Linked DNA regions of Saccharomyces cerevisiae S288C. The protein of the gene in region 2 purifies or fractionates together with the protein of the main gene of each other region. This does not show direct contact. Each region holds a gene or a part of one and is shown on either strand. Other genes may lie near its edges. The genes, in order: PSA1 and PRS3.

The links.
Region 1: the proteins of PRS3 (region 2) and PSA1 purify together in Saccharomyces cerevisiae (affinity purification with mass spectrometry, with the first as the bait; one large-scale study listed by BioGRID). This does not show direct contact.

The regions. Positions count from the first base shown.
Region 1 is NC_001136.10:347,948-365,916, forward strand, and holds PSA1 (mannose-1-phosphate guanylyltransferase), read right to left. Parts: upstream 8,813-17,969; coding exon 7,727-8,812; downstream 1-7,726. Other genes in the region: USO1 (Uso1p), read left to right, coding at 1-3,090; YDL057W (uncharacterized protein), read left to right, coding at 3,487-4,473; transcription factor MBP1, read left to right, coding at 4,930-7,431; MCH1 (Mch1p), read right to left, coding at 11,878-13,338; PBP4 (Pbp4p), read right to left, coding at 13,752-14,309; 1-acylglycerol-3-phosphate O-acyltransferase SLC1, read right to left, coding at 14,725-15,636; tRNA maturation protein LHP1, read left to right, coding at 16,005-16,832; KNH1 (Knh1p), read right to left, coding at 17,121-17,927. UniProt on the Saccharomyces cerevisiae protein: Involved in cell wall synthesis where it is required for glycosylation. Involved in cell cycle progression through cell-size checkpoint.
Region 2 is NC_001140.6:80,154-90,354, forward strand, and holds PRS3 (ribose phosphate diphosphokinase subunit PRS3), read right to left. Parts: upstream 1,464-10,201; coding exon 501-1,463; downstream 1-500. Other genes in the region: YHL012W (UTP--glucose-1-phosphate uridylyltransferase), read left to right, coding at 1-264; ETP1 (Etp1p), read right to left, coding at 1,811-3,568; YAP3 (Yap3p), read right to left, coding at 3,915-4,907; YHL009W-A (gag protein), read left to right, coding at 5,756-6,997. UniProt on the Saccharomyces cerevisiae protein: 5-phosphoribose 1-diphosphate synthase involved in nucleotide, histidine, and tryptophan biosynthesis. Active in heteromultimeric complexes with other 5-phosphoribose 1-diphosphate synthases (PRS2, PRS3, PRS4 and PRS5).

The DNA.
Region 1 (17,969 bases), on a different chromosome or scaffold from region 2:
GAAAAATTGATTGCGTTGACTAATGAACACAAAGAGTTGGATGAGAAATACCAAATTTTGAATTCCTCACATTCTTCGTTGAAAGAAAACTTTTCCATTTTGGAAACTGAATTGAAGAACGTCAGAGATTCCTTGGATGAAATGACGCAACTGAGAGATGTACTGGAAACTAAGGACAAAGAAAATCAAACTGCTTTACTGGAGTACAAAAGCACAATCCACAAACAAGAAGACTCTATCAAAACTTTAGAAAAAGGACTTGAAACTATTTTGTCTCAAAAGAAAAAGGCAGAAGATGGTATAAACAAAATGGGTAAAGATTTATTCGCTCTGAGTAGAGAGATGCAAGCAGTTGAGGAGAATTGTAAAAATTTACAGAAGGAAAAAGATAAAAGCAATGTCAACCATCAGAAAGAGACTAAATCACTAAAAGAAGATATTGCGGCAAAAATTACTGAAATAAAAGCTATCAATGAAAATCTGGAAGAAATGAAAATTCAATGTAATAATTTATCAAAAGAAAAGGAACATATTTCGAAGGAACTTGTTGAGTACAAATCCCGCTTTCAGAGTCATGACAATCTAGTAGCGAAACTAACAGAAAAATTGAAATCCTTAGCAAATAACTATAAGGATATGCAAGCTGAAAATGAGTCTCTAATAAAAGCTGTAGAAGAGTCAAAAAACGAAAGCAGCATACAATTGTCTAATTTGCAAAATAAAATTGATTCTATGTCACAGGAAAAAGAAAATTTTCAAATAGAAAGAGGCAGTATAGAAAAAAATATCGAACAACTAAAAAAAACCATCTCTGACTTAGAACAAACGAAGGAGGAAATTATCTCAAAATCCGATTCTTCAAAAGATGAATATGAGTCCCAGATTAGTCTCTTGAAAGAAAAATTAGAAACGGCGACAACAGCAAACGATGAAAACGTGAATAAAATCTCAGAATTGACTAAAACTAGGGAAGAGCTGGAAGCCGAGTTAGCAGCTTATAAAAATCTCAAAAATGAACTTGAAACAAAACTAGAAACTTCAGAGAAAGCTTTGAAAGAAGTTAAAGAAAACGAGGAGCATTTAAAAGAAGAGAAAATTCAACTCGAGAAGGAGGCCACTGAAACCAAACAGCAACTCAACAGCCTACGTGCCAATTTAGAATCATTAGAAAAAGAGCATGAAGATTTAGCAGCTCAGTTGAAGAAGTACGAGGAGCAAATTGCCAACAAGGAAAGGCAATATAACGAGGAAATATCTCAATTAAATGATGAGATTACTTCCACTCAACAAGAAAATGAATCAATTAAGAAAAAAAATGACGAACTGGAGGGCGAAGTTAAAGCAATGAAGAGCACTTCAGAGGAACAATCAAATTTGAAAAAGTCAGAGATTGATGCCTTAAATTTGCAAATTAAAGAGCTGAAAAAGAAGAACGAAACGAACGAAGCCAGTTTATTGGAGTCAATCAAAAGTGTAGAATCAGAAACGGTAAAAATTAAAGAATTACAAGACGAATGTAACTTTAAAGAAAAGGAAGTTAGTGAATTGGAAGACAAACTCAAGGCCTCAGAAGATAAGAACTCTAAATATTTGGAGCTACAGAAGGAATCGGAGAAGATAAAAGAAGAACTAGATGCTAAAACGACTGAACTAAAAATTCAATTGGAAAAGATCACTAATTTATCTAAGGCCAAGGAGAAATCAGAATCTGAGTTGTCTAGATTGAAGAAGACATCTTCTGAGGAAAGAAAAAATGCAGAGGAGCAATTGGAAAAATTGAAAAATGAAATACAAATCAAAAATCAGGCCTTCGAAAAGGAAAGAAAGCTACTTAATGAAGGATCTTCAACAATTACACAAGAATATTCTGAAAAGATCAATACTTTGGAAGATGAATTAATTAGGCTACAAAATGAAAACGAATTAAAAGCCAAAGAGATCGATAATACGAGGAGTGAACTAGAGAAGGTTAGTTTAAGCAATGATGAGCTTTTAGAAGAGAAACAAAACACAATAAAAAGCTTACAAGATGAAATTCTTTCATATAAAGACAAAATAACTAGAAATGACGAAAAGCTTCTATCAATAGAGCGAGATAATAAACGAGACCTGGAGAGCTTGAAAGAACAACTCCGGGCTGCACAAGAATCCAAAGCTAAAGTTGAAGAAGGGCTGAAAAAACTTGAGGAAGAATCTTCAAAAGAGAAAGCAGAGCTTGAAAAGTCTAAAGAAATGATGAAAAAGCTAGAGAGTACGATTGAGAGCAATGAAACGGAGTTGAAATCCTCAATGGAAACCATAAGGAAATCAGATGAAAAATTAGAACAGTCGAAAAAAAGTGCTGAGGAGGATATTAAAAACTTGCAACATGAGAAGTCAGATTTGATATCCCGAATCAACGAATCTGAAAAGGATATTGAAGAACTGAAAAGTAAACTGAGGATCGAAGCAAAATCTGGCTCTGAACTAGAAACCGTAAAACAAGAGCTAAATAACGCACAAGAAAAAATAAGGATCAACGCAGAAGAAAATACAGTTTTGAAATCTAAATTAGAAGATATAGAACGTGAACTCAAAGACAAGCAAGCCGAAATAAAAAGTAATCAAGAAGAAAAAGAATTACTAACTTCGCGCCTCAAGGAATTAGAACAGGAATTAGATAGCACCCAACAGAAGGCACAAAAATCCGAGGAAGAACGTAGGGCCGAAGTCAGGAAGTTTCAAGTCGAAAAGTCTCAACTTGATGAAAAAGCCATGTTGCTTGAAACTAAATACAACGATTTGGTGAATAAAGAGCAAGCATGGAAAAGGGATGAAGATACTGTTAAAAAGACAACCGATTCTCAGAGACAAGAAATTGAAAAGTTGGCTAAAGAACTGGATAACTTGAAGGCAGAGAACTCTAAGTTGAAGGAAGCTAACGAAGATCGTTCGGAAATTGATGACTTGATGCTCTTGGTTACTGACCTAGATGAGAAAAACGCCAAATATCGCTCAAAGCTGAAGGATTTGGGCGTTGAAATTAGTTCGGATGAAGAGGATGATGAAGAAGATGATGAAGAAGACGAGGAAGAAGGGCAAGTGGCATGATAGAGTTAAAATATGTGCATAAACAAATCGCTTGAACGATCTGTTTGATTATGTGGGCAGCACTACTTTTTTGTAATTATATATGCATATATACATTTTACTGACACTAAATGTTATATTTTCTATAACATCTAACATTACTTCACGCCTTCTAATTAAAGTATAGTTTGTGCAAACAATATGTGAGCTCACGTAGACAATTGTCTAATATATCATTAATGTCCCTTGCATAGAACTTCCTTTTTTTTTCTCAGCGTCGCAATATCTCTGTCGAGAAACGCTTACGCATTATAATAAGCCAAGGAAAAATAGCGAAAAGCCGATGCAGATCTACAGGAGTGATGAAAGTACTAAAAAGATCAGAAAAGGGAATATTTGTCAAATAACCAAGTCGAAATGGAAAAAAAACATGTCACTGTGCAAATACAAAGTGCTCCCCCCTCCTATATCAAATTGGAAGCAAATGAAAAATTCGTATATATTACAAGTACAATGAACGGCTTATCTTATCAAATTGCGGCTATAGTTTCATACCCAGAAAAGAGAAATTCATCAACTGCAAATAAAGAAGATGGTAAATTACTGTGCAAGGAAAATAAACTAGCATTGTTACTACACGGAAGTCAATCTCACAAGAACGCTATTTATCAAACTTTACTAGCAAAAAGGCTGGCCGAATTCGGATATTGGGTACTAAGAATAGATTTTAGGGGCCAAGGTGATTCCTCAGATAACTGCGACCCTGGCCTTGGTAGGACGCTCGCTCAGGATCTTGAAGATTTGAGTACAGTATACCAAACAGTATCTGACAGGTCTCTTAGGGTGCAATTGTACAAAACTAGTACAATATCACTGGACGTGGTTGTGGCACATTCTAGAGGATCTCTTGCCATGTTCAAATTCTGTCTAAAATTACATGCAGCTGAATCTCCATTACCGTCTCACCTGATCAATTGCGCTGGAAGATATGATGGGAGAGGACTTATTGAACGCTGCACACGACTGCACCCGCATTGGCAAGCAGAAGGTGGGTTTTGGGCGAATGGTCCACGAAATGGCGAATACAAAGACTTTTGGATACCATTAAGTGAGACTTATAGTATCGCTGGCGTTTGCGTTCCGGAATTTGCCACGATACCACAAACTTGTTCAGTAATGTCCTGCTATGGCATGTGTGATCACATAGTGCCAATTAGCGCAGCCTCAAATTATGCAAGGCTTTTCGAGGGCAGACATTCATTGAAACTTATTGAAAATGCGGACCACAATTATTATGGCATTGAAGGTGATCCCAACGCGCTAGGCTTACCGATAAGGAGGGGTAGAGTCAACTACTCACCACTAGTAGTTGATCTAATTATGGAATACCTGCAAGATACATAGACCATACAACTACATATTAATCTAAGATAAGTCTTGTGCTGAGTTTGGTCACTTTGCGGGATCACCCGCATAAAGTCGTCGGCATTGCAGTTTAAGATCAAATAGAGGCAATACTACGCTGTGAGACGATATTTCTGATCGTGATTAAACTGGTATTCCACATGTTCAGCATCCATTAGCCGTTAGAGATAATTCATTTACGTTCCTTTTTTCTCTTGCGCTTGAGATTGTTAGATTGTTAAATTACTACTGCTTTGTTTTTCCATCCGATTAGTATAATCAACAGATGAAAAAATGAAAAAAAGAAAACAAAATCAACATAACTTGCACAAGATTGAGCCATCGGAAAATAAAGCCCATTGTAATTCATATAACTAAACATCATATCAAGTGCGATTGGTCTGCAAAATCGTGCTTAACATTCCGAGACACAACGTAAATCCCAGAAACACAAGCATGTCTAACCAAATATACTCAGCGAGATATTCGGGGGTTGATGTTTATGAATTCATTCATTCTACAGGATCTATCATGAAAAGGAAAAAGGATGATTGGGTCAATGCTACACATATTTTAAAGGCCGCCAATTTTGCCAAGGCTAAAAGAACAAGGATTCTAGAGAAGGAAGTACTTAAGGAAACTCATGAAAAAGTTCAGGGTGGATTTGGTAAATATCAGGGTACATGGGTCCCACTGAACATAGCGAAACAACTGGCAGAAAAATTTAGTGTCTACGATCAGCTGAAACCGTTGTTCGACTTTACGCAAACAGATGGGTCTGCTTCTCCACCTCCTGCTCCAAAACATCACCATGCCTCGAAGGTGGATAGGAAAAAGGCTATTAGAAGTGCAAGTACTTCCGCAATTATGGAAACAAAAAGAAACAACAAGAAAGCCGAGGAAAATCAATTTCAAAGCAGCAAAATATTGGGAAATCCCACGGCTGCACCAAGGAAAAGAGGTAGACCGGTAGGATCTACGAGGGGAAGTAGGCGGAAGTTAGGTGTCAATTTACAACGTTCTCAAAGTGATATGGGATTTCCTAGACCGGCGATACCGAATTCTTCAATATCGACAACGCAACTTCCCTCTATTAGATCCACCATGGGACCACAATCCCCTACATTGGGTATTCTGGAAGAAGAAAGGCACGATTCTCGACAGCAGCAGCCGCAACAAAATAATTCTGCACAGTTCAAAGAAATTGATCTTGAGGACGGCTTATCAAGCGATGTGGAACCTTCACAACAATTACAACAAGTTTTTAATCAAAATACTGGATTTGTACCCCAACAACAATCTTCCTTGATACAGACACAGCAAACAGAATCAATGGCCACGTCCGTATCTTCCTCTCCTTCATTACCTACGTCACCGGGCGATTTTGCCGATAGTAATCCATTTGAAGAGCGATTTCCCGGTGGTGGAACATCTCCTATTATTTCCATGATCCCGCGTTATCCTGTAACTTCAAGGCCTCAAACATCGGATATTAATGATAAAGTTAACAAATACCTTTCAAAATTGGTTGATTATTTTATTTCCAATGAAATGAAGTCAAATAAGTCCCTACCACAAGTGTTATTGCACCCACCTCCACACAGCGCTCCCTATATAGATGCTCCAATCGATCCAGAATTACATACTGCCTTCCATTGGGCTTGTTCTATGGGTAATTTACCAATTGCTGAGGCGTTGTACGAAGCCGGAACAAGTATCAGATCGACAAATTCTCAAGGCCAAACTCCATTGATGAGAAGTTCCTTATTCCACAATTCATACACTAGAAGAACTTTCCCTAGAATTTTCCAGCTACTGCACGAGACCGTATTTGATATCGATTCGCAATCACAAACAGTAATTCACCATATTGTGAAACGAAAATCAACAACACCTTCTGCAGTTTATTATCTTGATGTTGTGCTATCTAAGATCAAGGATTTTTCCCCACAGTATAGAATTGAATTACTTTTAAACACACAAGACAAAAATGGCGATACCGCACTTCATATTGCTTCTAAAAATGGAGATGTTGTTTTTTTTAATACACTGGTCAAAATGGGTGCATTAACTACTATTTCCAATAAGGAAGGATTAACCGCCAATGAAATAATGAATCAACAATATGAGCAAATGATGATACAAAATGGTACAAATCAACATGTCAATTCTTCAAACACGGACTTGAATATCCACGTTAATACAAACAACATTGAAACGAAAAATGATGTTAATTCAATGGTAATCATGTCGCCTGTTTCTCCTTCGGATTACATAACCTATCCATCTCAAATTGCCACCAATATATCAAGAAATATTCCAAATGTAGTGAATTCTATGAAGCAAATGGCTAGCATATACAACGATCTTCATGAACAGCATGACAACGAAATAAAAAGTTTGCAAAAAACTTTAAAAAGCATTTCTAAGACGAAAATACAGGTAAGCCTAAAAACTTTAGAGGTATTGAAAGAGAGCAGTAAAGATGAAAACGGCGAAGCTCAGACTAATGATGACTTCGAAATTTTATCTCGTCTACAAGAACAAAATACTAAGAAATTGAGAAAAAGGCTCATACGATACAAACGGTTGATAAAACAAAAGCTGGAATACAGGCAAACGGTTTTATTGAACAAATTAATAGAAGATGAAACTCAGGCTACCACCAATAACACAGTTGAGAAAGATAATAATACGCTGGAAAGGTTGGAATTGGCTCAAGAACTAACGATGTTGCAATTACAAAGGAAAAACAAATTGAGTTCCTTGGTGAAGAAATTTGAAGACAATGCCAAGATTCATAAATATAGACGGATTATCAGGGAAGGTACGGAAATGAATATTGAAGAAGTAGATAGTTCGCTGGATGTAATACTACAGACATTGATAGCCAACAATAATAAAAATAAGGGCGCAGAACAGATCATCACAATCTCAAACGCGAATAGTCATGCATAAAATATACATAAATAGAGGAACTTTACATGTATCCATATACTGAAAAATAGATAAAACAATGAGATAATATTTATTAACTTCTACGTAAATAAAAAGTTACATAAGGATCAACCTTTTTTTCTTTATTTTCTTTTTTTTTTTTATTTTTCATTTTCAATTACAAACTAAGACATAACAGTAAGCAGTGCTTTTTCTGTGCATGTTTTCCTCTTTTTATAATGATATTGGCTAAAATAAAATTAACAAAAACAGATGAGTGATATAGATTATATTCATTACAGTTCGTTTTCCTAACTCACATAATAATAGCTTCCTTTGGAACATTATCGGAGATAGACTTATGAGGTAAGACTTTACCACCGTTGATGTAGATTTCGTCCTTAACTTCAACGTCGTCACCCAAGACAGTGACACCTTCCAAACGACACCATTGACCAACGGTAGAGTTCCAGCCTACGATGGTAGATTTGACCAAGGAGTGGTTCTTGATGGTGGAGTTGCACAAAACAACAGATCTGGTGATTCTAACACCATCACCGATGGTGACATTAGGACCGATAACCACGTCTGGGCCAATCTTAGCAGTGGAGGAAATCTTAGCGGTTGGGTCGATCAAGGCATTACCAACAATGTTGGCACCTGTAGCCAATTTTTTTGGTTGTCTCTTGGCCAAAGAGTTCAAGTAAAGAACGGTACCAGACAAGAAGTCCTTTGGTTGACCAACATCCATCCAGAAACCTTCCAAATCGAAGGAATATAGTTGTTTTTCTTCGACCAAGATTGGGAAAGTTTCCTTTTCAATTGAAGTTGGCTTCATTTCAATCAAGTCAATGACTTCTGGGTTTAAAATGTACAAACCGGCGTTAATTCTGTTACCAACAAATTCCTTTGGCTTTTCAACAAATCTGTCAATCAAGTTTGGAGTAGCTATATCATGGACAATGACACCGTATTTAGAAGGTTCGTCGACCTTGGTAGCAACAATGGTACCTTTACCACCGTGAGCTTTGTGGAAGTCAGCCAATTCCTTGAATGGATATTCGCAAATGACGTCGGAGTTTAGGACGAAAAATGGAGAGTTGTCCTTCTTCAAAACATCTTCAGCCAATTTCAATGGACCTGCAGTACCTAATGGTTCAGTTTCTACAGAGAAAGTGATGTTAACACCATATTCCTTTTCGTACTTCTTCAAAGTTTCCACCATGACTTCTGGTCTGTAATTAACAGCAAGAACGATGTCAGTAACACCAGCGTTGGCTAAAGCCTCGATTTGGTGTAAAATCATTGGTCTATTACCGAATTCAACCAGTGGCTTTGGAACGGTCAAAGTTAAAGGTCTCAATCTGGTACCGTAACCACCGACTAAAATTAAACCTTTCATTTTTCAATTATATATGTTTTATTTGTTGAAGTTGTAGCTTGTCTTGTGCTGATAATATTTTGTTTGTATAGTCAACAAAATATTTGGACAGAAGAAAAGAGTTAGCGAATGTAAAGTAGTTTGCACACTTGATGAACGTTATCAAAGTCAAAGAGGTGAGAACAAGATAGACAAAGAAAAAAAAAATACAGTTTTGGAGAAAAGAAAACAAGACTATGTGAAACTTCTAACAATGACGTGAAAAGTCTACTATATATATGTTTACAAGAGCGCCACGAGGCAAGGAAAAAAAGAAAACAAAGCGAGAAACCACCAGCTTACTTTACTACCGGTCAGCTGTGGTTCTGTGTCTGTTCGTCTGTTTGTTTGTTTGTTTGTTTATTGCTGCGCTGTTCATGCTGAAAAACGACAAAAACAAAGAAAAAAAAGTTTTTCAGAGATTGAGATAAAAATAAACGTGGTGGCTCCCGAGGCATTTCTAGCTGGCCAGCAAGTACACGGTGGCCGTTTCTTTTGGCGTTTTTTTTTTCTGTTTTCGCGTTCTTCATGCTGTGCGTTGCTGGTGAGGTGGCGTGGACGGTTTGGTTTAGGCAATGATAGAAAAAGCTATAGTCAGAGTTGCAGGAAAGGACGAAAGTAGTCCATTTGGTGCCGTTATCCAAGGGTCTTGCTCTTAGTCTTGCTTTTCACCCAGCACGCGGTAAGAAGGATCGGGTGCAGCATGAAGAATGCTGACTGTACGCGTTTCGATTTGAAGCTTTAGGATGTTCTGTGGGTTGGGTTGGCTCGATCGACAGTGCGTATAGTGACCTTTGAACTGTACCGGGTGGCACGTCGTGCACAGAATCAGAAGTAGTTATAAAAGATTTGTAATTGCGTATATGCAACCAAGTTTAGGCTTTCTCCGTGCCGTTTTTTAAGGTGAAATGTACTCCTCTTGAAAATGTAAAAAAATGGAGCCTCGCAGAGCAGCTTGCCAAGCAGGTTGATACAAGGTGAGCCGCCGAAACATAACGATAAACGTGGTATAGTTTTCGATTGCCTTTAGTTTGGGTGGTCTCAGTGCTGGCACCTGACGAACTATTCGTAGGCAGGAGAACTTGCATCATGTGGTGTTCTTCCGAGATAGGGATGCCGTTTGGTCCTTACGAAAGTCAATGTTCTGGTACTACTAATTATTAACATAGTTCGTTGTATACACACTCTTTACTTTCATAAGAAATAAAAAGCACGTCTAAGAAATCTCTACGTCTTGGCTGCGGCAAGCAACTGCATAGAAAGCACATAGTAGTAACTCTAAAATGCGAGCTTCATACAGACAATTACATAAATGCAACATAGGCAGCATGGGATCCTGGGTTTCATATCGTCAAAGAAAGCCACCAACTGGCTTTACCATAAAAATACGAAAAGAAGTGCACACATTCTTCTTTTTGGCTCATCACAAGTTCTTCAATTTACTGTCATTACTTTTGTTTCCTTGTCAGATAATGTATGGGTGGTGTGTACACCAAGGTATTTTTTTTTTTACTTGGCAGATCTGCAATGCATAATAGAATGGTAAGGGAACGAGTAACAGACGGGAAGCGAATGCGAACACAAAGAATATAAATTTGAAATCTCCTGTTGCAAAGGATTCTCTAGACATTTACTATCTCAGTGACAATTCTCGAGTGAAACAAGAAATTGAGATGGTAGGTCAGCGCCCATACTTCTTGAATCAATTGGAGGAGCGGATAAAGCAAGTTTCCCCCCTCAATGTAAATCATCTTAAGCAAAATTTTAAAATCTAGGCACATATAAAGAGAAAATGGGAATGATTTTGCTGGATAGGCTACAGTGTTAGGAATGCAGAATTAGGAACTATAGATGATGCGATTAAAGATATTAAACGAGAAGTGACAGTGGTGGCTTCGACAACGGCAGTCGTGCTCGGTCGACAACGTGTATGTTTTTGCCGAGCAGAGCAGGGAAAGTCCTTCTTTCTGCGCGTGAATCAAAACACATTGGTATCGAATTTAACATATCTGGGTGAGGAATGGACAATCCTAATAAAGTACTGGAGGTTTGTCTGTATTTCCAAGTTCTTGCTTGTAGAAACTGCTTTCTTTTCTCTTTTCCTGCAGCGGTCGAACATATGTGATTATTGATTAGCCATTTGTTCCAAGTCATATAGTAGTATTACGTGTTCAGATGCGGTGTTAGCGTATCTTTTTGTTAAATAAAATATCATTGTGCCGTTGCCGCCCTACCTGCCAAGGGTCAAAGAAGGCACCTTTATACGATGCCACCTTTTTATAGTATTCTACTACAGAGTCATCGTTCACCAGTTACTGTTCATTCTACTAAATTAGTATGGCGTGTTGCATAGAAGGAAGCATGAATTACAAGATCAGTAGAACAAAAAGTTCAACTGTTTGGAATTTAGTTGAACATGTGACGAAAGCTCTGCTACTAAGACAGGGGCAAAAAATAACAATATGTAAGCATAAGAAATGGGTCAATGTTGGGATACTTGGTGAATTCCGTTCTTTTTAGAAGCGGATTTTCTTATTCGTTTATATGTTGCCATTCATTACCCTATCATATTATGAATCTTCACATTTTATTTTCCATAAGATCTGATGACTGTTTCCCAATCACCTTACATCATATATGATAATGTACAATTGATATGAAGAATAGCAGTCGATGGATGATATTTTATTCTTATTATCAACATGTACAAAGTGTTGGAACGGTAAAGACCAGTGCAAATCTGATAAAACTTTAAAATAACATGGACAAATTTATGTCCAGGATTCTCCGAAGAACTCATCCTTGTTAGCTCAGTTGGTAGAGCGTTCGGCTTTTAAGCGCATTTGCTTAAGCAAGGATACCGAAATGTCAGGGGTTCGAGCCCCCTATGAGGAGTTCTTTCTTTTTTTCTCTCAATTTTTAACCGGTACCTTTAAAAGGGTATCAAAAACAATAGCATAGCATAAAAGAAATAAGTGCAATTTATTGGTGTCATTTATATAAGCTATGAATTTTAAAAAAAATAAATGTAGCAGTTTCTTTTTTGTTTAAATTCTGAGTTTTCTACTTTTTAATTTCCAAAATACTACAGCTGAAAGAACAGCGGATACAACGAATGCGATACTGCTGTACTTGTAGACAGCCGAAATACAGGACGGATTTCGCAGATCTCCTCCGCCACTCATACAGCGAGAATCGTAAAATTTGGCATACAACATGCAAAATATCATAGAACCTATAGCAGGTGCAATTAGTAAGCTACCGTAAACAGTCCCGAATGAGCGTTCGCCCCATACTAACAGGACCAGCGTCGGATAAACAGTGAAAAGTCCACCGTATACAATTCCAACCAATGATCCTGTAGGTACTAGCCCCCAGGGTGACGCTGAAGAGGTCATTTTCAATAAAAACAGTTGTGCACATACCCCTAATGAAAGGAAAGTCAACAGGATCCATTTAATTGATATTTTTTTCTTGGCGAAGAAGTCTGCCACTATGCCTGTGAGCAATCTCGTAAAAGTGGAAGATAGCGCGTATGTGGATAACAACTTTGTAGATAAGGTTGGCGCATCTAATTGGACTAGCAGGTTAGTCAGTGATCCCATATTGGCAATAAACATCTCGAGGGGCCCAAGTGATAACAAAATTGATACCGCTAGGATATATGTCACAGGATCACTAAAGATCCTTAGCATCGTCTGCGTAAACTTTTCTTGAACATGATTACTTCGTTCTAACAGCGGTGATTGTTCCACATCAGTTTGATCATCCAGCCGTTTTTGGTTGTCTTGCTCTTCATTAAAATGCAAAAGTGATACCACGCTGGTGGCTATCCATGCAAGTAGCCCAATAACGACATAAACGAGGGCAAATGTTTGGAATACTCTTCCCAGGTTTAAGTCACTATTGGACGAGGAAGAACTTGCGTTAGAGGACCAGAACCATTTGATTCTTAGCAGTTGAGAACCGACTACAGAAGAAATACCATAACATGTCGTTGGTAAGCTAATGGATAGTAGTTTTGTATGAGGATATAGCTTAGTGCATGTCAGTAAAGCGCTAAAGTATAAAGCGCTTGTTGATATACCTATGAAAACGAAACAAATGATGGATAGATTGAATGATGAGTCACCATTTCCTCCGAGAGATAACTCCGGATGATTAAAAACGTAAGCCAGATATGAATAGCTAGGTATGAACCCTATGATGGCTAAAAGACTTAAAGTAATGGGGCCATGAGAATCAGCGATCATCCCCAAGATTGGTGGCGTCAAGTACATCCCCAAATTAGTCATACTAGCGATGGTGTTGATTTGCCATGAGGAATAATTTAAATGTTTCTGCCACGGTTGAGAGTAAAGAGATATCAAAGTAATGAAGCCAGTTGACACCGCAGATAATAGCGAAAAGATGTATGCAACACGATGTGATGACTGAAGAGACAAAACATGGGGTAAGAGTAAGCGCGTATGGTATGAAAGGTAGTGCTCCACCTTTGATAGAGGCATGATTTGCACTTGGAAAATGGTTATTGCTATAAAATGATATGAAAGGAAACTAGTCTCGATGAAACGTTAGAAGTTGCTGTCTGAGTAGCGGTCTCTGTTATCTTGTATTTACACTGTATAATAGTTTTTCTTGTAGGGCAAAAAGAAAGGTACTAATTTCCGAACGATGCGAAAAGCCGCTAGCATCGGAAAGGCTAAGTGAACTATGCAATAAAGACTAAGAGAAAAAGCAAAGAAAGGCGTCTTAACACAGTATACATTTTTCGACATTATGAATTATAAAATTTTTATTTACGCTTGTAAAATAATATTTTCATTTCTTCTATTTTCCTCTTTTCTTCGTTTTCTTGACTTCATACTTCATTTTTTGTTTGACTCCTTTTTGCGTTATGAAACGTGATGCTTCGATATTCTCATTGGTTTCTTAAAACTTTAGCAATATCGGACAAACAGCCGTATTTTTTATTCTTATTTTTACTGCTTGATACAGTACCCCAGTCAGTGGCTGTTGAAACTCTGCCACTTGCCGTTTCTGATAGTACTTGCTTATAAGTTTTCATTGAATGACTTTTTTCACCAGCGGTATAGCTCTGAAATAATTTGTGCATATACGATCTAACTTCTTCTCTATTGTAAGGTTGTTTATTCGCTCTTTTAAATTTCTTATTTGTGGATGATCCATTGGCGGTGGAACTACCCTTTATATTAGCAGGCGGCGCGGTAGATGCGATGGTTTTAGTCTTCGTATTAGCAGGTTGTACAGCCACGGAATCATCTTTTCGTGCCTGCTGTTGCTGTTGCTGTTGCCTTGGAAGGGCTTTGGCAGCTGCCTGCGCCCAACCTGTTAATTTTGGCTTCTGAGGAAGCACAGCGGGCGTTGGACCATTTGAATTTGGACCTGAAGCAGATAAAGTAGCCTTCAAAGTCGAGGAGGTTCTGCCATCTACACTGGTTGTTGAGGTTGTTGTCATTTCGTACTAGATTAAAGGGAAAATTGTATCGTAAATAAGTAATAAAGTTAATGAAAATTCGGAAACAAAAATGGATAGATATTAAACAGTGAACAAATGAAAAATTTCAGAAAAAAAGAATTAAAAAAAAAAAGGGAAAAAATATGCACAAGATCGTATTATTTGTTGTTCCTCGTATTTTTCTTTCTATTTAGTCTCACATTTTTGACACATGCCTGGTGTTATATATACATTACAATGGAAAGTTCTTTTCTCTTTCTCCGAATAAAGTAGCGGTCTATTGATCACTTCTTACGCTGGGTATATGAGTCGTAATAAATAAAATCATCAGAATCATTCGTAAGTCATTTTACTTTTTTAAAAAGATAATTACAGTTTTTGGGTCTATATACTACTCTAAAAATGTGGTGGTGGCTTAATGCATCTTTTTTACAGATGAACCTTCGTTATGGGTATTGACATCGTTGCTAATGCTGACAGAAGGCACAGGCTCATTCTTGATTTTCTTGTTCACTTTCTTGTCATGTTGAAGAGCGGCATACTCAATAGCTTGTGGTGGGAGGGTTGTATCGTTGATGGCGGGAGAGTAGCCAATCTCCTTCAAAGTGTCAACCATTTGATCTCTAACTTTTTCAGCAAATTCACCAATTTTGTCCTTTGTTAAGTTCTCGGTTGAAATAGGTTTTAAAATTCTAACAATCATACAGCCTCTGTTGAAGACCCCATATTTAGGACTTACTAAAGTACTGGTATTGGAAACAACCACTGGAACAATGGGGATCTTACCCTGTTGTGCCAAATGGAAAGCACCCTTCTTGAAAGGCAACATTGTCAGCTCACTCGTGTAAGACCTGGTACCCTCAGGAAAAACCCATAGAGCACGCTTGTTTTTCTTAACATTTTCTAAACCTTTATTCAAGGTGTCAATGGCTTCTTGCCTTTTAGATCTGTCTAAGAAATATGTACCACTCAAAGCCATGAACCAACCCAGAAAGGGGACGTATTTCAAAGACTTCTTGGCAGTAACTGTGCAACCAGGGGGGAAAATCCTACCTAACATGAAGATATCCAAGGTGGATTGGTGATTGGCAATCATAATATATGGCTTCTTGGCCAAATTCTCCTCGCCAACGACCTTGACGTCAAGGCCAAGCATCAATTTCATGACATGGTAAAAACAACGCGCAGTAATCCACTGAGCCAAATGTTGCTTACCGATTAACGTGCAAAGGATAGAGGCGATTACACCGTAAAAGCCACAGCCTGCAAGCGCCAGTACGACCAACACGGACCTCAAGTAATACAAGAACCTACCTATCACACTCATTATTTTTTTGCTCGAATTCACTGACGGAGGGAAACCACTAAACTTCTCTATTGAAGAATTCCCCCTTCACCTTAAACCCTTCCTAATATAAGTATTTTGAACACCATACCATATTCTCAACAAAACAAAGGAAGCATAATTGATATCATCATTCACGAGATCCATCTCGTGACCGTGAAAAAATTTTCGTCTTCGTCTTAGTGTAATGTGTTCAGCCCAACCTCATCGCAATATCTCAAGATTTTTGAATTACAACCAAATCAAAAGCACAGAGTCGCATCTCATCGCTATGATGTATTTTTTTCTTTTTCCAAAAAATGGGTTCTATTTGGTTCTACTGGAACTAAAGTAGCATCTGCAAAGAAGTAATGTCTGAAAAACCACAACAAGAGGAGCAAGAGAAACCACAATCAAGACGTAATTCATTTGCTGTGATTGAATTTACTCCAGAAGTCTTGGACAGATGTTTAAAGCAAGTGGAATTCTACTTTTCTGAATTCAACTTTCCATATGACAGGTTCTTGCGCACAACAGCGGAAAAAAACGATGGATGGGTCCCCATCAGCACCATCGCCACATTCAACCGTATGAAGAAATATAGACCAGTGGATAAGGTTATCGAAGCACTACGTAGTTCTGAAATTTTGGAAGTATCTGCTGATGGAGAGAACGTCAAGAGACGTGTTCCTTTGGACCTAACTGCTGCCAGAAATGCCAGAATTGAGCAAAACCAACGGACTTTGGCTGTAATGAATTTCCCACATGAGGACGTTGAAGCTTCCCAAATTCCTGAATTGCAGGAGAACTTGGAAGCCTTTTTCAAAAAATTAGGTGAAATCAACCAAGTGCGTTTGAGAAGAGATCACAGAAACAAGAAATTTAATGGTACGGTCTTGGTGGAATTTAAGACAATTCCAGAATGTGAAGCTTTTTTGAAATCGTATTCCAATGACGATGAGTCCAACGAAATTTTGTCATATGAAGGTAAGAAACTGAGTGTTTTGACGAAAAAACAGTTTGATTTACAGAGAGAGGCCTCGAAGTCCAAAAACTTCAGCGGTAGATCAAGATCCTTTAACGGCCATAAGAAGAAAAACTTGCCTAAATTCCCCAAAAATAAGAAGAAAAACGGCAAGGAAGAGTCAAAAGAGGACTCTTCTGCCATTGCCGATGACGATGAGGAGCACAAGGAGTGATTCTTGTGTTTCTTCTGGTTCTCGTATCTCATTATCATAGCATATTAAGAATATATGTACTAACATATGTACTAAACAGAAACACAATATGAATTACAACTAATACTATATTATTTGTCTCCTTTTTTTATTAGTATTAAAAATTACCGTTACTGGTTAAAATGGAATACAGCTCATCCATTTAAAAAAAAAAAAAAATAGAATAACAATAATTAAGCAGAAAAAATGTTAACGAATATAATAAATCGATTTGTCCATTTTCATAAATTTTTTTTTTGTATTATTTCATTATCTGTGCCTCAAAGCATTAACTTTTCTTGCAGTCAGAGAGAGTCTCTTGCGTGGATTATACCAACCGCCATTATCAGCCGGCATAGGGGCCGGCGTAGCATAGTTACTATCAGCTGTAATTATGTATGACCACCCTGGTGTTACGGTAGTATGTTGATCAACGGAGTTTCTTAAAGTGTAGTAATACGTTACCTCACTGGTCGCGTACTTCCTTTTCCATGTCTTTGCTGTTACCTTAGTAGCCGGTTGGAGTTGCATGGGAGCATATTTCACAACACCTGTTTGTAAGTTGTAGGGAACGGTGAAACTCTTAGAATCAATCGTGGCACCCACATCTCCTGTGGTAATTCTTGTTTGTGCCTCTGGTGCAATGGTTATCATACTCGGATTAGCGGCTTTTGTACCAATCATCCCTTTTAGTTTAAATCTGTTAGTGTAATGAATGGTGTAACCGATAGCTGTTTGCGCAAAGACTTGTATGAAGTAAACACCGTCCGTCCCAACGGTGTTTTCTATTATCGCATTGAACTCGTTGTCTGTCAGATCACTCGCACTGAGTGTTTGAAGAGTAGCCATTGCTTCTATCATGGCATTGGTACCCGAACACAGAGTAAACGTGTATCTGACAAAATCCTTTTCCTGTGGTGTGTTATCTGTATGCATCCACTTTACTTTGACAACAGCCTGACTTGTACCAGATAAATCATAAACTGAGTTGGGTTCTGGAGCCACAATGGCCACATCACAATAAGCTGTTCGGAACACTACCGAACAAAATAATGTTAAGAATAATACTATCAGCATACGTTTTACGTAATTGATTTTTTATTATTGTTACCTACCTAA
Region 2 (10,201 bases):
GGATTATTACCTTCAATCGACTTGGGCGATGAGTTTGCAACTTATGAGACTTTTAAGATAGGAGTACCAGATATTCCTAATATTCTGGAATTAGAGCATTTAACTGTGATGGGAAATGTGTTTTTTGGTCGTAATATAACTCTGAAAGGGACGGTCATTATAATATGTGATGAAAATGATGTAATTACTGTTCCCGATGGCTCTATTTTGGAAAATGTAACGATTTGGCATAAATCTCAGCTGGAGGATATGAATGGATATTAAACAAGAGAAACTTTTGGGTAAAATGCATGAATAAAGTTTTCTTCTATTCCCACTATGTAAGAGGAATCATGTATCCTCACAGAAAAAAAAAACTGGAGCACATTGCAATAGTGGCATTACATTGCAATTTGTGGGAAGAGAAGTATACACATCAGATACGTAGGTATTTATCAAATTCTGAAAATCACTCATCATTTTTGTAGTATTTTTTTTCTCCCCATTTATTCTTCAGTCACTTATAAGGGATAATTCTTAAATAAATAAGAAATACTTTCACCATTATGCAAACGACGAATACTTTCAGCCAGCACACTACTGATGTCAATGACTGCCAGTTTTGGGCACTTCTTGATTTTTTCTTCAAATGGAACAGTATTTGTGCAAACAACTCTATCCAGTTTAGAATTGTTAATATTTTCAATAGCTCTGCCTGATAAAACACCGTGCGTGACAATAGCAATAACAGATTTAGCTCTATTCTCCAAAAGAATTTCAGCAGCCTTAGCTAAAGTACCACAAGTATCGGCCATATCATCAACAATGATACAAATCTTATCAGTAACATCCCCAACAAGAACCATACGAGAAACCTCATTGGCACGAGCTCTTTCCTTATGGATCAATGCAAAATTTAGATCCAAACGATCAGCCAAAGTGGCAGCACGTTTTGCCCCACCAGCATCTGGCGAAATTATTATTGAATCCATATAGTTGACATTTTCCTTGATATACCTAACTACGCTTGGTTCTGCATATAAATTATCTACTGGGACGTCGAAGAACCCTTGAATTTGGGAAGCATGCAAATCCATAGTAATAACATGATCACACCCGGCTGTTGTTAACATATCGGCCATCAATTTAGCGGTAATAGGAGCACGAGACTTATCCTTTCTATCTTGTCTTGCATATGGGAAATTTGGAATAATAGCAGTGATTCTTCTTGCAGACGCAGTCTTCGAAGCATTGATCATGATCAGTAGTTCTAGAACACGATCGTTCACGACACCAGAGCCAATTTGCGTGATGATAAAGATATCTTGGTCCCTAACAGATTCTCCAATAGAAAAGGAAACCTCACCGGTTGGATCTCTCTTTAGTTTGCTGCTTGTTAACTGTAGACCTAGCCTTTTGGCAACAAGTTCAGCTAAACCTCGGTGGACATCTGGTGCTAATAATTTGATGGAATTTGTTGGCATTTTGTAATCCTAAGTGAATATATGAGGCTCAGTTTGAATGGGTAGGTTCGTTTATCCTGCGCTGGCAAAGTACGTAGAAAAAAGAGTATGAATCTTTCTTAGATATATTCAAGAAAAAGTAAGTAAATAAGAGGGTACGTGATTATAAACAGATACGAGTTTAGCGAATAATACCGTTCGCAATCATAACTTTATAAAACTCATCCTATTACTTACTATTCGACTGGAAAATTTTCGCAGGCAAAAAAAAAAAAAAAAAAAAAAGAAAAGAAAAATCGATGAGCCTGCCGTACACAGAGATATAATAAATTTAGAATGCAAGAATGGTATGGCGGTGATGAAGATAATCATTTCCCTGCTTTTTTATTTTTGTTGCGCTTCTTCTTGCTTTTGGATGCCTGTGCTGCCCCATGTGGTTGCTGTATTAGGATGGTACCTTCTTTTACACTCTCATCAGCGTCTTTGAATTTTTCTTGAGAATCTAGATAAAACATTAGGTCCTTGACTTGCTCTTCCAAATCTTGTTTAGACTCTTCTAACGCTTTGTTTTCTCGCTCTAACTGCTCTTGTTTTTTTGATAAGTGATCTAGGTTCGCTTGTAGTCCTTCGATTACTAACATATCTTCCTCAAGCTTAGATTTCTGGGCCATTTCCCTTTTCTGCCACTCCTTTTGAGTGACCTGAAATTGGAGTTTCAAATCTTCCATAGACTTCTTCAAACTTTCAACATTCGAAGAATCAGACGCAGTTTGATCTTTTTCTTGTAATTTCAGTTCATAATATTCTCTTTGAGACTCTAATTGAGATATTAGGACTTGCACATATTCTAGATGATACTCCCTATGCCTTAAAAAATTTGCCGCCAGCTCGCCATCTTTTTTATTAGAGTTCGATTTCTCACCGTTTTTGCTCCTGTTCCCGTAAACAACATTTTGTAGTTCATCGGAGTTGCCTATATCATTGTTGTCATCGTCACCGGAGCCGCCGACCTCTACTAACTTCCCATCAACTTCATTTTGAACTAGGCGATGGACATAATTATCACCCGCATAATCCCACACTCTTTGTGTCCGTATATCCATCGCAAAACAATGTAAAGTTTCTTCATAATGCTTGATTGCGTGTTTGGAATTGTAACGACCGCATCCAACATTACCGCAGATCAAGCAAATCCATAGATTATCAGTGGAACCACATGTTGCACAATGTGCGGAATCACCTGCCTGTTTCAATAATGATTCCCTGCTTAGCCGCAGACTTGAATGTCGACACACTGGACACCTTGAATTCTTCCACTTATTTAAGCATTGGCAATGAAAAGTGTGCTGGCACGGGATCGTTACTAATCCAGTAGTTTCTGAATCCATTCTTTCAAGGCAAACGGGACATGTGGGGAGTTCGACTTTTACCAGTTCCTTTTTTTTCTTAACAGTGAATGGATCAGTAAGCAGATAGGGGAAGTCCTCGTTAGCGGCTGGTCTTTGGAAGAGCTTTTTTTGAAAAACTATTTCTTTTACAGAGATCACATGGCATGTTTCGGGATCCATCCTGCTGAAACTTTTGCCATTGAACTCTTCCTTGAAATTTTTCGCATCAAGTGCATTCCTGAATTTAATTAAGACCGTGAAATTAAAACCCATTCCCTTCTGCTGATTTCGTAATATACGAAAGTTTGAAACTTGCTTATTAACAATATCATCACCAATATAAAAATGCAATAAATCGTGAACGGTAAAATAAGTTGGAACAAACAGGATACATATCATAGTATCATCTCCCGGGATAGTCAAAATCTCCTTCTCATTAAGAGTATTATTGGCATTGCTTAGCTTGAATAGCCTTATTATCCCATGGCCTAAGTATTGTGAAGTAATCAAATCACTTTCCTCTTCTTTTGATGTTTGATTTTTGAAATCAGTTATCATGTCTATTTCCAAGTCACAGACTCTCCAATCCTGCCAGTCTTGATTATTACTTTTAATACTTTCTTCCCCGATACTTTTTGCCTTCAACTTTTTCGGAATACTCTTGAAAATTTGATAAGCGGATTCAACCTGATTTTGGTTTCCAAATTCTAAAGTAATGATATACTCAAATTGATCCATAGATGTGAGGGCCAACCAGAAAGTAATACATTCAATGCTACTATTCCGTTATTGCCTCTATGTGTTTTCCTTTGAACTTTTACTTAATCCGCGGGTGAAATTTCATTTTTATATTTTCCATTTTATAACAGGCCGTCCCCTAAAAACACCGCGTAAGAACATAGTTTATACACTTATATAAGTAAAAGGTGTAGTAGGTTGGAATGGTAAAGGGCGTATTGTGTGTCAATTATGCGATGAAAATGTATACTTCGAAGTCAATAAAAAAAGAACCTGGTTTGCCTCATGAAGATGTTGCCTGCCCTTTCTTATTTAGTGTTTGTAAGTTATTTTTGTCAAAGTCTATTCATTCATTCAAAGTAGCTTCCTCCACTAGAAAATCGATTAAACTTCTTGGATACGCAGGTCCATGGGTATGACAACATTCTTGTCCTTGCAATTTGCTCATAACGTATGTCACATCAAAGTCCCTCTCTTCTGAAAGTTTGTAAAGATACTCCCAGGTGGCGGGGACTGTTAGTACATGTCTTCCTGCTTCGTCAGTATACTGGGTATTTCGCTTCATAATTTCATTATCCTTTAGCGAATACTTGCCTTTGTGATTCAGTTTGCTTTCCAGGACCATAGAGGTAAAAAATTCATCTTTCGTTGGGAAAGAATATTTGTAGTTGGTATCATCTTCTATGTCCTTTGAAAAATTTTCATTACCACTCCGCAGTAGCAGTCTGTTCTCTGCGTTGATTTCAGTATTTGCCTTTCTTAGTTCCTCAATTTCTTTCAATAAACTTTGGCGGTTCCTTTCACTTTCTAACAATTTATCTTGTAATTCTTTCATTCTGGCTTCTTTTCTCTCTCTGAAGGCTTTTTGGGCGGCTCTGTTTTGAGCCTTTTTCTTTGCCTTAGAGTCATCTGGAACATTCTCATTATGAGCAACTGAGGGACTCCTCGAACTTGGAGATATACCATTATTTTTAGAAAAATAATTTGTATTACTATAACTATCATTATCATTATTATTGTTATCTGCCATAACATAGGTAGAGTAGTCGCCTGAAATAGGGGTTAGTTGAATTGCTTGAAGATCACTACCCTTAGGGAAAGATATGTTGTTCTGTAATAGCAAATCATTATTTGATCTGTCAAGGTTCAAAGCAGGACACTGGTCTTCCAAAATTGGGAAGGGTGCTGTTTGCTCGCTCAATAGGTCTGGTTGTTGTTTTATACATTTGCTATCTTCTTGGAATAGACTATTTCTGATACAACAATCCTCCTCTTGGCATTGAGGGTTAATAAATTTCATGAATCCGCTGGTATTATCATCCATATTAGAAGGCGTCATAACAATTGCTTCAGCCTTATTCTTCGTTAGTTTATACTGGAAGTAAAGCAAACACCTACTGCCCCTTTTATCGAAATGATAAACAAATAAGAAAGCTCAGAGGGCCTCCGGTAATATTCAAATCGATCTGTTTTATAATGCTTATTGAATAATAATGCCGTTGCTGTACTCTTAACATAAAGCTACGAAAATCCACTATACATTTTTCTAAAGAAAAAAAAAAAATTCAAAAAAAATTGATTTCGCCCAGGATCGAACTGGGGACGTTCTGCGTGTTAAGCAGATGCCATAACCGACTAGACCACGAAACCAAATTCTTATTGATTATGTTGTATTACGGGCTCGAGTAATACCGGAGTGTCTTGACAATCCTAATACAAACAGTCTTAGGGAAGTAACCAGTTGTCAAAACAGTTTATCAGATTAATTCACGGAATGTTACTTATCTTATATATATTATATAAAATATGAATCATACTGTTGGAACGAGAGTAATTGATAGTGACATGAGTTGCTATGGTAACAATCTAATGCTTACATCGTATATTAATGTACAACTCGTATACGTTTAAGTGTGATTGCGCCTATTGCAGAAGGAATGTTAAACGAGAAGCTCAGACAATACTGAAGCGGTGTTAAAGACCTATTAGTTGAACATGTTATGGTAGGTACATATATGAGGAATATGAGTCGTCACATCAATGTATAGTAACTACCGGAATCACTATTATATTGGTCATAATTAATATGACCAATCGGCGTGTGTTTTATATACCTCTCTTATTTAGTATAAGAAGATCAGTACTCACTTCTTCATTAATACTAATTTTTTACCTCTAATTATCAACATGGCGACCCCAGTGAGGGATGAAACAAGAAATGTTATTGACGACAACATTTCTGCGCGGATTCAATCGAAAGTCAAAACAAATGATACTGTCAGACAGACGCCATCATCATTAAGAAAAGTTTCTATTAAAGATGAACAGGTGAAACAATATCAAAGAAACTTAAATAGGTTTAAAACCATACTAAATGGTTTAAAGGCAGAAGAGGAAAAACTTTCTGAGACTGATGATATTCAGATGCTAGCTGAAAAATTATTAAAACTCGGAGAAACCATTGACAAGGTTGAGAATAGGATTGTGGATCTAGTTGAAAAGATACAATTATTGGAAACAAACGAGAACAATAATATATTACATGAACATATAGATGCTACAGGGACTTACTATTTATTCGATACGTTAACTTCAACCAACAAAAGATTCTACCCTAAGGATTGTGTTTTTGATTATAGGACTAATAATGTCGAGAACATTCCTATTCTCTTAAACAATTTTAAAAAATTCATCAAGAAATATCAATTTGATGATGTCTTTGAAAATGATATCATAGAAATCGATCCTCGTGAAAATGAAATCTTGTGCAAGATAATCAAAGAAGGACTCGGTGAAAGTTTAGATATCATGAACACAAATACAACTGACATTTTTAGGATAATCGATGGTTTAAAAAACAAATATAGAAGTTTACATGGTAGAGATGTCAGAATTAGAGCCTGGGAAAAGGTTTTGGTTGATACAACATGTAGAAATTCCGCATTGTTAATGAATAAACTTCAAAAGTTGGTACTAATGGAAAAATGGATTTTTTCTAAATGCTGCCAAGATTGTCCTAATCTAAAGGATTACCTACAAGAAGCTATCATGGGAACCTTACATGAATCCTTAAGAAATTCTGTGAAACAACGTTTGTACAACATTCCACATAACGTAGGAATTAATCACGAAGAATTTCTAATCAATACTGTTATTGAAACAGTAATTGATTTGAGCCCAATTGCAGACGATCAAATAGAAAATAGCTGCATGTATTGCAAATCTGTTTTCCATTGCTCAATTAACTGCAAAAAGAAACCAAATAGGGAACTTAGGCCTGACTCGACCAATTTCTCAAAAACCTATTATCTACAAGGTGCACAGAGACAACAACAACTTAAGTCCAGTGCAAAACGAACAAAAGTCTTGGAACAAGACACAAAAAAAGTCAAACAAAGTGTACAACAGCAAAAAACTGGTAATTATTGATACCGGTTCCGGCGTAAACATTACCAATGACAAAACCTTACTGCATAATTACGAAGACAGTAATCGCAGTACACGATTTTTTGGTATTGGGAAAAACAGTTCAGTGTCTGTTAAAGGGTATGGCTATATAAAAATCAAGAATGGTCACAACAATACTGACAATAAGTGTTTATTGACTTACTATGTACCGGAAGAAGAATCCACTATAATCAGCTGTTATGACTTAGCCAAGAAAACCAAAATGGTTTTAAGTCGAAAATATACCAGATTGGGAAACAAAATCATAAAAATTAAAACCAAGATAGTTAATGGTGTCATTCACGTAAAAATGAACGAGTTAATTGAACGTCCTTCCGATGATTCAAAAATAAATGCAATAAAACCTACTTCTTCTCCTGGATTTAAACTAAATAAAAGGTCTATTACCTTGGAAGATGCTCATAAAAGAATGGGCCATACAGGAATTCAACAAATTGAAAATTCCATAAAACATAATCATTATGAAGAATCCCTTGACTTAATCAAAGAACCAAATGAATTTTGGTGTCAAACCTGTAAAATCTCTAAAGCCACGAAAAGAAATCATTATACCGGGTCTATGAATAATCATAGTACTGATCATGAACCAGGATCATCATGGTGCATGGATATATTTGGCCCTGTATCAAGTTCAAACGCGGACACTAAAAGGTACATGCTTATTATGGTGGATAACAACACGAGATATTGCATGACCTCCACACACTTCAATAAGAATGCTGAAACTATTTTAGCTCAAATCAGAAAGAATATTCAGTACGTGGAAACACAATTTGACAGGAAAGTCAGAGAAATTAATTCAGACAGAGGTACTGAATTCACAAATGATCAGATAGAAGAATATTTTATTTCAAAAGGAATACATCACATACTTACTTCTACACAAGATCATGCTGCTAATGGAAGAGCAGAAAGATACATCAGAACAATAGTAACTGATGCAACAACACTCCTAAGACAAAGTAACTTAAGAGTAAAATTTTGGGAATACGCAGTAACTTCTGCTACCAATATAAGAAATTGCCTGGAACACAAAAGTACAGGTAAACTACCATTGAAGGCAATCTCACGTCAACCTGTTACAGTGAGATTAATGTCATTCTTACCATTTGGCGAAAAAGGAATAATTTGGAATCATAATCACAAAAAATTGAAACCATCTGGACTTCCTTCTATAATTCTATGCAAAGATCCAAATAGTTATGGATACAAATTCTTTATACCATCCAAAAATAAAATTGTCACATCTGATAATTATACAATTCCCAACTATACGATGGACGGTAGAGTAAGAAATACTCAGAATATTTACAAGAGTCATCAATTCAGTTCACATAATGATAATGAAGAAGATCAAATCGAAACGGTCACAAACTTATGTGAAGCTTTGGAAAACTACGAAGATGATAATAAACCAATTACTCGCCTGGAAGATTTGTTCACAGAGGAAGAGTTATCTCAAATAGACTCAAACGCAAAATACCCATCTCCTAGTAATAACCTAGAAGGGGACTTGGATTACGTATTTTCTGATGTTGAGGAATCTGGAGATTATGACGTTGAATCTGAACTTTCAACGACAAATACTTCAATCTCAACTGATAAAAACAAAATTTTGTCAAACAAGGATTTTAATTCAGAACTTGCATCGACTGAAATATCCATCAGTGAAATCGATAAGAAAGGATTAATAAATACAAGTCATATTGATGAAGATAAGTATGATGAAAAAGTCCACAGAATTCCATCGATTATACAAGAGAAACTGGTAGGAAGTAAAAATACTATTAAAATCAATGACGAAAACAGAATCTCCGACAGAATTCGTAGTAAAAATATTGGGAGTATCTTAAACACTGGACTCAGTAGATGTGTAGATATCACCGATGAATCTATTACTAACAAAGATGAGTCAATGCACAACGCAAAACCCGAACTAATTCAGGAGCAGTTCAATAAAACAAATCATGAAACTTCGTTTCCTAAAGAAGGGAGCATTGGAACAAATGTAAAATTCCGAAATACAGACAATGAGATTTCTTTAAAAACAGGCGATACGAGTTTACCAATAAAAACTTTAGAAAGCATTAACAATCACCATAGTAATGATTATTCCACAAACAAAGTTGAAAAGTTTGAGAAGGAAAATCATCATCCGCCCCCGATTGAGGACATTGTGGATATGAGTGATCAAACTGATATGGAATCAAACTGTCAGGATGGTAATAACTTAAAAGAATTAAAAGTCACCGATAAAAATGTACCAACTGACAATGGAACAAATGTGTCACCAAGGTTGGAACAAAATATTGAAGCATCTGGATCACCAGTACAAACAGTTAATAAAAGTGCCTTCTTAAACAAAGAATTCAGTTCTTTGAACATGAAAAGAAAACGGAAAAGACACGATAAAAACAATAGTCTAACAAGCTATGAATTAGAAAGAGATAAGAAGCGTTCAAAAAGGAATCGAGTGAAATTAATTCCAGATAATATGGAAACAGTTTCAGCACAAAAAATTAGAGCCATATATTATAATGAAGCTATTTCAAAAAATCCTGACCTCAAAGAAAAACATGAATACAAACAGGCATATCATAAAGAATTACAGAATTTAAAAGATATGAAGGTATTTGATGTCGATGTGAAGTACAGTAGATCAGAAATCCCTGATAATTTAATAGTACCCACCAACACGATATTCACAAAGAAAAGAAATGGGATTTATAAGGCTAGGATAGTCTGCAGAGGTGATACTCAGTCACCAGACACTTACAGTGTAATAACTACAGAATCTTTAAATCACAATCATATTAAGATATTCTTAATGATTGCAAACAACAGAAATATGTTTATGAAGACCCTGGATATCAATCATGCATTCCTATATGCTAAATTGGAAGAAGAAATATACATCCCACATCCGCATGATAGGAGATGTGTAGTCAAGCTAAATAAGGCGTTATATGGTCTAAAACAGAGTCCTAAAGAATGGAATGATCATCTAAGACAATACTTGAATGGAATTGGACTGAAAGATAACTCTTATACTCCGGGATTATACCAAACCGAGGATAAAAATCTAATGATTGCAGTCTATGTTGATGACTGCGTAATTGCGGCAAGCAATGAACAGAGATTGGATGAATTCATAAACAAATTGAA